3 linked regions of the Danio rerio genome follow. The main gene of each other region encodes a partner of the protein of the gene in region 2 in a complex. Links are inferred from orthologs where the notes say so. Each region holds a gene or a part of one and is shown on either strand. Other genes may lie near its edges.

Evidence for each region.
Region 1: prpf6 (region 2) and snrpg share a complex: the UniProt entries of both Homo sapiens proteins name them as parts of the U4/U6-U5 tri-snRNP complex. The link is inferred for Danio rerio from reciprocal best matches to the Homo sapiens genes PRPF6 and SNRPG.
Region 3: prpf6 (region 2) and snrpf share a complex: the UniProt entries of both Homo sapiens proteins name them as parts of the U4/U6-U5 tri-snRNP complex. The link is inferred for Danio rerio from reciprocal best matches to the Homo sapiens genes PRPF6 and SNRPF.

The regions. Positions count from the first base shown.
Region 1 is NC_133198.1:36,915,147-36,918,904, forward strand, and holds the start of snrpg (small nuclear ribonucleoprotein G), read left to right. Parts: upstream 1-1,120; 5' UTR 1,121-1,237; coding exon 1,238-1,269; intron 1,270-1,504; coding exon 1,505-1,527; intron 1,528-3,758. UniProt on the Homo sapiens protein: Plays a role in pre-mRNA splicing as a core component of the spliceosomal U1, U2, U4 and U5 small nuclear ribonucleoproteins (snRNPs), the building blocks of the spliceosome.
Region 2 is NC_133198.1:7,083,057-7,086,714, forward strand, and holds part of prpf6 (pre-mRNA-processing factor 6), read right to left. Parts: intron 1,375-3,658; coding exon 1,212-1,374; intron 1,124-1,211; coding exon 1,005-1,123; intron 925-1,004; coding exon 846-924; intron 1-845. UniProt on the Homo sapiens protein: Involved in pre-mRNA splicing as component of the U4/U6-U5 tri-snRNP complex, one of the building blocks of the spliceosome.
Region 3 is NC_133182.1:19,364,309-19,368,066, reverse strand, and holds the start of snrpf (small nuclear ribonucleoprotein F), read right to left. Parts: upstream 2,738-3,758; 5' UTR 2,551-2,737; coding exon 2,548-2,550; intron 1,687-2,547; coding exon 1,561-1,686; intron 1-1,560. UniProt on the Homo sapiens protein: Plays a role in pre-mRNA splicing as a core component of the spliceosomal U1, U2, U4 and U5 small nuclear ribonucleoproteins (snRNPs), the building blocks of the spliceosome.

The sequences.
Region 1 (3,758 bases), about 30 Mb from region 2:
CTTTGATGGTTGATGGCTGCTAATATGATTTCACTATTTAGAATTTGCAGTGAATACTTCTCTGAAATTATATTATTAAGGAGAAAGTGTGAATGTGCGAATATAAAAATTAACTTTACCTCAATAGGCTTTGAGGGGTTCGAAAGACCTACCCCTCACTAACAAAGGTCCAACATTTGTTCCATATATGAGCTTGTTTGTCTCATTATAATTGCTATGCTTCATAAATTGTAAAAATAACTAAGCAAAAAGGGTCTTAAAACCAATTGTAATCCTCTGTTGGCTGTTGCTGCGGTGTGACTTCAGCTTATCAGTTTTGAACCTTTGATTATTAATAATAATATGTATTCAAATGGGCAAATTCTAACTGAGGACAGTTGAATGAGCTGGCCAAGTTGTTGTTTGCCCAATAAATGTCGCTATAATAGGCTACAGTTTTTAATTTAAACATTAATAGATTCCTTTTTTTTAATTAATATTGGCTGTAACATTTGTTTTTTAAAAATATGTATTTATTTATTTTTCTTTATTCCAAAATTTTAGGAAATATTTTGATTCATCAAAATTGTGGTTATGATGACTATTCGACAGGTTAATTCAGCTAAAGATAGTGCTTAAAATATCACTAAAATGCAGTATATCTAATAATTAAATAGAAAATGAGGCAAATACCTGCAAAAAGGTAAACTTACTTAGAAAAAAGAACCACCCCTTTTACCAGGCTGGCTATGGGCCTGTATAATATTCATTCATTTTCTTTTTGGCTTAGTCCCTTTATTCATCAGGGGTCGCCACAGCAGAATGAACCACCAACTTATACAACATATGCTTTACACAGCAGATGCCCTTCCAGCTGCAACCCAGTACTGGGAAACACTCATACACTATAGACAATTTAGTTTATTCAGTTCACCTATAGCACATGTCTTCGGACTGTGAGGGAAACCGGAGGACACCCACTCGAACACGGGGAGAACTTGCAAATTCCTCAGAGAAATGTCAACTGACCCAGCCGAGAGTCCGAGACTCGAACCAGCGACCTTGTCGATATGTTGTTGTTGTTGTAGTTCATCATCCGCCGGAGTAGAGGGCAATATTACTCAATGGTGCTAGTACAAGGGAAAAATCCCGCGACCCAAAACGTCACTTCCTGCATTTCACTCATTCTCCGAACAACGCTTGAAACGTGATTCAAACGTATTTGTTTGACAAAACTAGCATATCTCACTAAATAAACATGAGCAAAGCACATCCACCCGAGCTGAAAAAGTAAGTATTTCAAGTATTTTCTTGAGTTTTTTAGAAATTTGATATTAAGAAGTATTTAACATGGGCAACTTATTAACGTTAGCCGGTGTGTGTTCAGTTTAACGGCTAAATTACTTTATTTTCACATCAAGCATAACTTATATTGCTAATCCATTTTGATATATTTTATATGAGTTAGCTTTCAGTTTGGTGGTGTATCTATTGTGAATTAAGAAAGTGCCTTTTCCCCTCTTAGGTTTATGGACAAGAAGCTTTCACGTGAGTAATCTTTTAATAACGTTAGATGTTTCTCTTTCCAGTTAAAATATGAATTATAGCTCAATATTAGGGCTGCACGATATTGAAAAAACTATACATTGCGATATTTTCTTTTTTGTAATTAAGTAATTAAATATTTGAAAAGTGGTTTTGTAGGGGAGTGAAATTTAAATATACATTTTAATGTAGTTTCTTATACAAACTAGTCACACACACAATTGGGTAACGTAATTATTAAAGTGAAATAAACCGTCCTTAATGGGTTTCTTGAGAGTCTAACAGTACTCAGTTGGGTTTCCACAGTGTCTTAAATGTCAAAATCCAAAATTTGGCCATTAAAAAGTATTAATTTGACTGAAATATTGTATTGTGTAGGTCTTGATTCTTTTTTTTTTTTTTTAAAGTCATGTGTTGCTACCCAGTCTGGCCATTAACACCCATACAATCACCAACAATCCTCTCAACAAAACCTTAAACTTTTTATTTAAAAAGGTAATTTTTAATCTATTTACCATAATGGTTTAATTATTTTCCATACAATAACATGTGTTTAAAAGTTCTCCATGTATTTACTACTGAGGACACTGAACAGGAGAGATTGTTGTGCATAGATTTAGTTTATTGTAGTTTTTAAAAGTTTTAAAATATTTGTTCTTTTTTTTATTTTAAAGAAAGTTTATGTTGAGGAAAAAAGTGTATAGATACAATTAGAGCTTGCTTGTTTTTACACAATATTTTGCTAAGAAATAAAATCGGAAATATATATATTTTTTTATTATTATTGTATTATTAAATGTATTAAAATATAATAATGTTTTTGATAGGGCAAATAAAAATCTTTTCCATCAGGGCTATTTGAAAAATTCCTTAGCTTTTAGCACTTTATGGGTCTAAAATGTAATTAATAAAGGTTTTATAAACAATTAAATTTAACTGTATAACCTGCAGAAACCCTGATTCAGGTACTGAAATCGAATAATCAAATGTAAAATAGCACTGTGTAGTCTTCACCATACACAAATTTTAATAAAATTAATCTTTATTAAACATTTTCATGCACTACTAATGTTTTAAACTCTCTTCAAATGCTCAGCCACATGCCTTAAAGTGATGATAAACTTTCACTCTATTGTGCTTAAATTCTGCAGTGTCTCCACAAATCTTGTGTGTTTTGACTAGTGGTTTCTGGTGGTCATCTATAATCCTAACTATCGCCTATCTTGCGATGTAACTAATGCAGATGCACACATTTCAATATCATTGCTCAAGAAGTGATATATTGTGCAGCTCTAATATATATTAATATTATTTCAATAAAAACGTTCAATGATGTATTTTACAGGGTCCCCGCGGGTCCTTAAAAAGTCTTAAAATGTCTTAAATAAAATTTTCGATTTTTAAGGTCTGAAAATGTCTTGAATTCTGTAATTTTCCATAAGGAGGTCTTAAATTTCATGTGGGATCTTAAATATCATGTCCGACTCGTCTTATGTCGGCAAATCAATGCCAATATAAATCGAGCGCAGCGGTGATGTTTGCGCGCGAGGAGAAGTGAACCGTGAGCAGATTACAGACACGCGAGAAAACTACAGCTGCAAGCGCACAGGGGATCTTCACGCGCGCGCTCAACTGATCCAGCGCGAGAAAACAAGTCCCGCGCGCGCACATCATCATCTTATGGCAAGCCCAAGAGCTCATAAAAACACTATTAATCAATCGCGTTTACAATTAAAACGCCGCATTAAACGGCGCTAATACCATTTCAAACGCCGCTAAAAACGCCGTTCTGATTGCAAACGCCGCAAATAACGCGCGTAAACCTGTAAAAAACGCCGTTTTTAACGCCGTTTTAGTGTTAGTGAAAAGCGCGGTTTATGACGCGATCCGCTTGCCACAAAACGCCGTTTAAAACGCCGTTTTAACCCCACTGAAACGCGCGTTATAAACGGCGCTTTCCTGAAGTATAATGAGCCACGCCCGCTGATTTCCACAGCCAGTAAGCTTGAGCTGCTCTCACCCAATCAACAATGAACAGAACCAGACAAGACTAATTCACCACTGATCGTAGCGGAAGAAGGGACTCTGAACTGATAGCAAATGCTTATTTACAAAGTACCTTTTACAATAGATCGATTCCACGTCTTTGTGCTTGTAAATGTTCATTTTAGATAGATGGCATCAGAAGAAATGTATTTTTGTAAGTGCCTTGGCAAAAGTGAGCGGGCATGTTA
Region 2 (3,658 bases):
TCTCAATACTATGTGAAGCAGCCATCCTGCGTATACAGTAGTAACCGAGTGTGATCAGGGCCAGACGGAATCTGCGGACGTTTTTTGCTATTTCAGCTGAGAATTTTGGTAAAAAATCTGCGGATTTCTGCGGAATTATTTTGGGAGTATCCAGCGGAGTATCATAACTAAAACCATAATATATTAAATAAAAAGTAATAAATTACTGAATAAAAACTGAATAAATTCTGATTTACACATTTACTCAAGTAAATAAACAGAATTAATAATGGGCTAAAAATCAGCAGAAATCTGCGGAATTCTGCTGAAAATCTGCGAAACATCTGCGGAATTCTGCGCGCGCAGATTCCGTGTGGGCCTAGTGATCGCTCAGTCAAGTCACATAACATGACGTACTTGGAAAATACTAACTTTAGAATATAATATTTAGAACAAAAGCTCATCATTACTAATACAATTTAATCAAATATAAAGACGTGATATAAATAAAGACGTGTTTAAATTGGTTCAATTAGTTAGAGACAAGTTACGTCAACCTCAACAATGGGAAGCAGGAGCATGACAGTACCGCGGTACTCTGTATCGTGGTTGCTGTATCGCAATATTTTGGTTCGGTTTGTAATATCGTTACACCCTTAATATTTACACTATGTTAATTGATAAATGCTGTAAAAGTTAGACAGATCATTCGTTCAAGTTTTGAAATAAATCATAACATTTAACTGATGGAAACCTGTTGCATAGTCTGATCCTTTTTTATTTGTCTTCACGCTAAACTTGGACTATTCTGAAGAATCTTAGGATTCTTCAACTTTTTTTTTGATATTTATAAAAGCCACACAAACCTTCAGGTCTGAGAACTGTTGCTGAATTTTAGGCCGCTCCATACGATACTTCTCAATCTCCTCTTTCTCTCGCAGCTCCCTGCAGACACATTAGTCAAATCAACCCAAACGCTCTACATAAACAGCAAGTGTAGACGACAGAAGAAAGGTCAAGCTCACCTTCTTTCTTTCCGTCTCTCATCCATTCTTTTATCCAGTGCAGCATAAATAGCGTCGGCCTCCTCGTCATCTTTCTCATACGGCCCGCTGGAGAACAGACTGCCCGCATAGCCGTTAAACTAGAGGATACAGGATATAGAGGCATAGATTAATAATATTCTGCTGCATTTTGGCACATCAACTCAATATGACGCCTGCGAAATGTACCTCATCATAATTGGTGTCGTTGAGATCCTCGTCATCATCATCCTGGCTTTTCTTCATTTGATCACCCACCGTCCTCTTCCCCGGAGGTGCGTGGCGATCATCAACTGGGTCATTGGCATCACGAGCAGGACCGATATCAGATCGTGTGGTGAAACCCGTGGCACTGCAGAGCACATTGAATTACAACTCAACAAAGAAATTCAGCATATGGTTTCCAATAGATTTTATTACATCGAAGACTGGAGCAAACTTCTTGCATTGCCATCTTGGTACAGGGTAGCGCTCCTTTGAAATGAATGCGGGACCAAGGTACAGTGGAGGTTCTGTGGCCATCCAAAGCCAGAGATATACACATATACACATATATCTATGATCGGGAGTTTTCCTGGATGTGAATATGTAATTTTTTTTTTTTCTAATTGCGAAAATTATAATTTTACATTATTTTTCTACATTGATGGATCAGTGACTGCATGGGCATTCCTGACAAAAAGCTTGTGTTTGTGTGTACAGAAATGTACTATTCACCCTCCCTGTTAAATTTAATCAAATCATGTCCTGAAACACACCTCCTCTCCTGCTTTCACTCCTCATACTGACGGAGGGAGCGATTCGTTTGTGAATGAATCCACCGAACGACTCTTTCACTAGCCGACATCAATACCAGTTTCTGGCAGCGCAGCATCTCGTTGTCATATTTCTTTTGCATTGTTTGTTATTCAACAAAAATAGCATAAGCCGAGTGTTTAGTGCGAGTTGGAGCTGCTTTGCCTTATGGTGAATGCAGTAAGTGACTATCATCCATAATGTTACCTGATTAGCACAAAAGTTCAGAACATACAAAAACAGAAAAAAAACTCAATATTACCTATGAAATGTTCTGCCTTTGTGCTTTGTTTTCTTTGTTTGGTCGTTACTACACCCATAGACAGCGCTAAAGTCCAGCATCTTCACATAATAACACTGTCTTGACTAGTGCGGTTGAATGACATTTGTTCTGGGAGCACTGTACCAATGTAGAGGCTCTATTGACGCATGCTCAGGGTCCCTATGCGATATCTAGTGTATACATCTATGACTGACAGCAAACTAACGGTTAGAGGGGCGTGACTAAACATTTCACACAAGCTGTCAAACTGACATCAGTGATAGATAGCCACTTGTAACATTCGCTTGCAGAACGTAATTTGGATAAGTGTGTGCGTTTGTTTGTATGTGGGTTTGTCGTTTCATGCATGTGTCGCAGGTACGAATGGCATTGGAGGATCCGCATTTCGTGCTGATGATGTTGCCTGCTGACGCTGGGTTTGCGCCACCAATCACTGGTTGGCGTAGCGTTTAAAAGCCGAGCCCAAACTGCAATGGCGATCTCTCTGTCTCTTTCCTTCTCGCCACTTCTCGCTCTTATTCTTTCTGTGGGTCTCTCTGAGGACAGTCTCTCTTGCGAGGGCTAGTCTGAGAGAATGTGTTTTGATTGTGTTTAATGCTCTTGTCTAAAGTTTGAGATTAATTTAATGTGTTTGCTTGTGAACTTGTCCTGTTAACTGACATGTTTGAGTGATACCTCGGAGAGGTGTAGGTGTGAGTAAGTCGTGCGATATACAAATACAACATTCAGATGCATATTTTGTATTAGTTCATTAGGTTCAGGAGAATGTGCTGTTTTCTGCATGTTTTGTTCTTAGTTAGAGCAGTTTAGTTAAGACGTTTGGTATGTTGAAGATGTTTTTTTTTTCATGCTTTTCTTTTTATATTTAGTTTAGTTTGGTGAAAACAGTTACTGAGTTTTGTTATATTTATTTCTTTGATTTAAGCGCATTCAAGTACTTCCTCTCCCCCCAGGTAATTCATCATTTAATCATTGTAAATATTTTTCTTTCATTGTATTATATATTTTCACTGGTTTCATTGGATGTATGGGCAATAAATAATTGCAGTGAGATTTGGTTTTCAGTTTATTTTTTTCTCCATCCGCTTGTCACACACATTAAACTATTGTATGTTATGTCATCTACTCCTAGTTTAATATAACATCTAAAAGAACGTAACACCCCTCCAGAGTGGAAAAAAGGTCAGATTTTTAAAAGAAGATGACCAAAACAAACACACTGATTTTTCCCCCCAAGTCTAACAATTTACAGCAGCAAAAAAAAAAAAGATTTTAAATTTTGATTTCACCTGGACTTTCAACGATATTCAATATATCAATAAGGGCTGAATGATATTGGAAAAATCTGTTGATAATATTCTATATATTTGAGAAATATCTTGTATTTCTGCAATATATTGTAATTTCTATATCTAATTTCACCAGATGATTTGAATAGCTCTATTTGGAAATACTTTATTAAAAAAAAAACGTGCAAATGATAAAACTTTTACTCCATTAAGGTTAAAGTACATAAACTCAACAAATCTCATGTATTTTATATAATCCTAAATCTTAA
Region 3 (3,758 bases), on a different chromosome or scaffold from region 2:
TTAAATAGTTGCTTTAAGGCACAGGTGTCAAACTCAATTCCTGGAGGACCAAAAGCTCTGGACAGTTTAATTCCAACCCTAATTAACCACACCTGATCAAACTAATTGAGTCCTACAGTCGTTTGAAACCTACAGGTAAAGCGGCAGGCACACTGCACCCCTATAGACTTCCATTTATTAGCAAGTAAATGCCTTAGACAGGAAACGCAAGCTCGTGCCACAAGTTTCGCAGTTCGATGTGTTGGAAACTTAAAGCTTGGTGAACTCTGACCAATAGAAGATCAAAACACGACCTCTCTGTACAGAAATTTTAAATATGGTCAAATCGTAATCAGCTTGTTTAATCCCGCCCCTTTTTGCAGCACCAAACGGCAGAATTTCACATGCTCAAACTGTAGTGTGGGGAAGCAGGGTTGCAACTAAACTATGCAAGACTGCGGCCCTCCAGGAACAAAGTTTGACATCCCTGCTTTAAGAACTCTCCAGATAAAAATGGTTATCTAAAACATTTTAAACAGGGCATTGCAAAAGTATCAACTCGAGTTGAGTTTTATTGTCATTCCGCTACATCTGTGGACACACAGTGAAATGTCTTGCAGGACCACAGTGCAACATAAATAAACTATCATAAATATAAACAACCCTTATAGACATAAGAGCGATTTTAAACCTATACATAACTACATAGCAGAGCAGTAATTAACTATACATGTACTAAAGACCTTTTTGAGGGATGTAAACAATAACAATGGTCCTACTGTATTTTCAGTAGCTTCTGAGAGTCCAAAAAGTCCCACATATTGATAGTTACAATAGCTGTTATAATAGCTGTTATATAAGTTATGAATGAATCGCCTCTTGTTACAGATATGAATTGACAACAAGCAGGAAATATTCATGGGCCAATGGCATCACCACATTGAAACGGTCTATAAATAGTAAAAAAAAAAAAAAACTTTACGCATAACCTTAGACAGACTATACAAGTACTTTTATATAAGACAGAACAATATTGTGCAAAAGAGATCATTTAAGGTTGAAGGAAATGACCAGTTAAACAATTTGTGGTACAGTCACAGGTAAACATTGTTTTTTTTTTTTTATTAAGTCCTTGTAAGAGATCTAGAAAAACTTGCATTTAGAGAGATTAGCATTTCTACAGGTGGTTTGTCAAGCCCACTCACCTGTGTGAACCAATCTCAGAAATGCACAATGTTTTATAGAGCTATGAAGTGGTTGAAAGAGAGGGTCTGGTACAAATAGACAAAACTAGTGCAAGTGTGTCAAGGAGTGTTTATAAAGCCCACTCACTTGTGTAAGGCACACTCAGAATTGCTAAATATTGAGGTTTTCATATGAAGTGTATATGCTTGACAGCTAGGTTGCCATTACAATATTTACATTTTTGGCCACCTTCTGCTTTAAGCAGATGTCTGTGTGTGTCTAGCATCTCCATAATGGCATATACAACGGTATGTCTCGAGTTAAAAAGAATAGTTTAAATTTTCTTCCTACTAAGGAGCTGGATTTTCATAGAATCGTTAACTCTTTTAAACATACCTGCATGTTCATGTACCCATCCACTGACACCAGGTAGCCCTTGTACTCCATGCCCCACTTCAGCTTCACCATCACAGGCTTTCCTGTCAGACCATTCAGAAAGGGCTTTGGGTTCAGCGGCAAACTCTGAGGGAAAAGATCAGTGTTACACAATTAACATCATTCGAAATCAATCCCTAAGTGTCATTTTCAAACAATTCCATGTCAACATAATATTGTTCCTGAAGAAGTAAAATACTACAAATGTTGATGATTTTATTCTCAAGTGAGTGAAAAGCTTAGAAGAAACTTTAGCATAGCCTCCGGTGATGCTCAGTCATATTTGACCAAATAGAAAAAAAAAAAGATTTACATTTTGGGTTTTAGTTTTTTTTCTTCATCAGCTTGTTATAACTTTTAGTAAAAAGTTTTGACACTAGCCGCATGAATTTACACAAGCAAAATAAACAAATAATAAAAACAAAACAAAAACAGATACAATTGATATGACTTCATTTTAAATTGTAATGACAAATTCTCATTACTGTAGTTTGTGGTATAAAAAATCAAAACACGCATGCATACACACAATATATATATATATATATATATATATATATATATATTGTATAACTTCAATAAAACAATATAATAATTTACAGCATTAATTGTTTTTGGTTTCCACCAGAATTAGCTGCAAATAAGCATCAGTAATAGCAGAAAAAACTCCTTTAACGTTAGTTTTTATCTTTAGTTTTCCCACACATATATCATTTAATCGCATTTTGGGAGTCACCGACTAGGTTGTAAGAGAACAAGGAGGAACATTTATCAGCAAAGCTCAACATTTCTAACACAACACTGAAAATGACTGAAAACAACGTCCAGTCTGCGTTCCTGATGCTAACACCTAGCCGCATTATCAGCGTATTTATGAATGAAAACGTCTACGCTCTTTCGCCAAACTGAAGGTTTGGATACAAATAAAAGAGATAACGATGAACTTACCATGACTGGATTACTTAAGTAGTATTTTCAGACACAAAAATTGTTTATTTGAATAGTATAAGCTAATGCAGCACACTCGCACGCCTTGCCGCCGAAAGAGGGAAGGACTACGAGCGCACTTTGACCGCACGGCAGGAGAGAAGAGCGGATCTGCCCGCTGCGCCACTCGCTGGACAGGCGGGGAATAGAGCCGTGAATCCTCAGTTGAGCTGGAGTGGAGGTCTGAAATTAAAGAAATAGTTTATCCAAAAATAAAAATGTACTTACTATAAACTATTTCCGTTTGATGATGTCGTTGGCCCATAAACATTTCCTGCTTGTTATAAAACTGTTTCACAGCTGTATCAAGAGGCAATTCAACCATAACTTAATGTTAAAACAGTTCTTATAACATTATTTATCAATATGTGGCTCTTTTTAGATTCTCGGAAGCTATAGAAATTTAAAATGTAAAACAGGAAATACGTAAGGACCATTGTCTTTTGTTTAGATTCCTCAAAATTGTCTATATAGTCACCCTTGAGGGGTTTCTAACCTTAATGAGATTCTTTTTTTTCATTTGAAAACAAAAATAAGATATTTGGAAGTATGTTAAAACTGGTATTGTTGTTTCGAAAATGTTGGACACCGGTAACTATTGGCTTCTATTGTATTTGTTTTTCATCATATTATAGAAATGGTTACCAGTTTCCAAACATCTTCTTTGGTGTTCAGCAGAAGAAATAAACAAGTGAAGGGTAAGTAAATGAGAACATAATTTCATTTCATCACTATCCCTTTAAAAAAATTAATATGTATAAATTATTTTATATATTTATTTTGTACCATTTTTAACAACTCCCAAAACAGCAGCAGTGGATCATTTTATCATTTCATTCAACGAGAACGGAAACTTGCAATCATTTACAGTCTTTTAGATTTGTATTTGAAAGCACAACACATCTAATTTCTCTTTGATTTGTACAGTAATTTAGCTTTGCAAAACTATTGACCCTCAATTATATAAATAAAAAAAAATGCAAATATCCCACATCAATCATTTAACCGAAGACTTGCCCAGTAGGTTTTTGCATTTCATTACCATCTATTCAAAAGAGGTCATGTTTGAAATGTCATGTACAGTGGTGGATAGTGATGGACAATATTTTCTTCCCCAGAGAGGGTGTATATAGTTAGGTTAGTTAGTTAGCTAGCTAGTTGGTTAATTTATT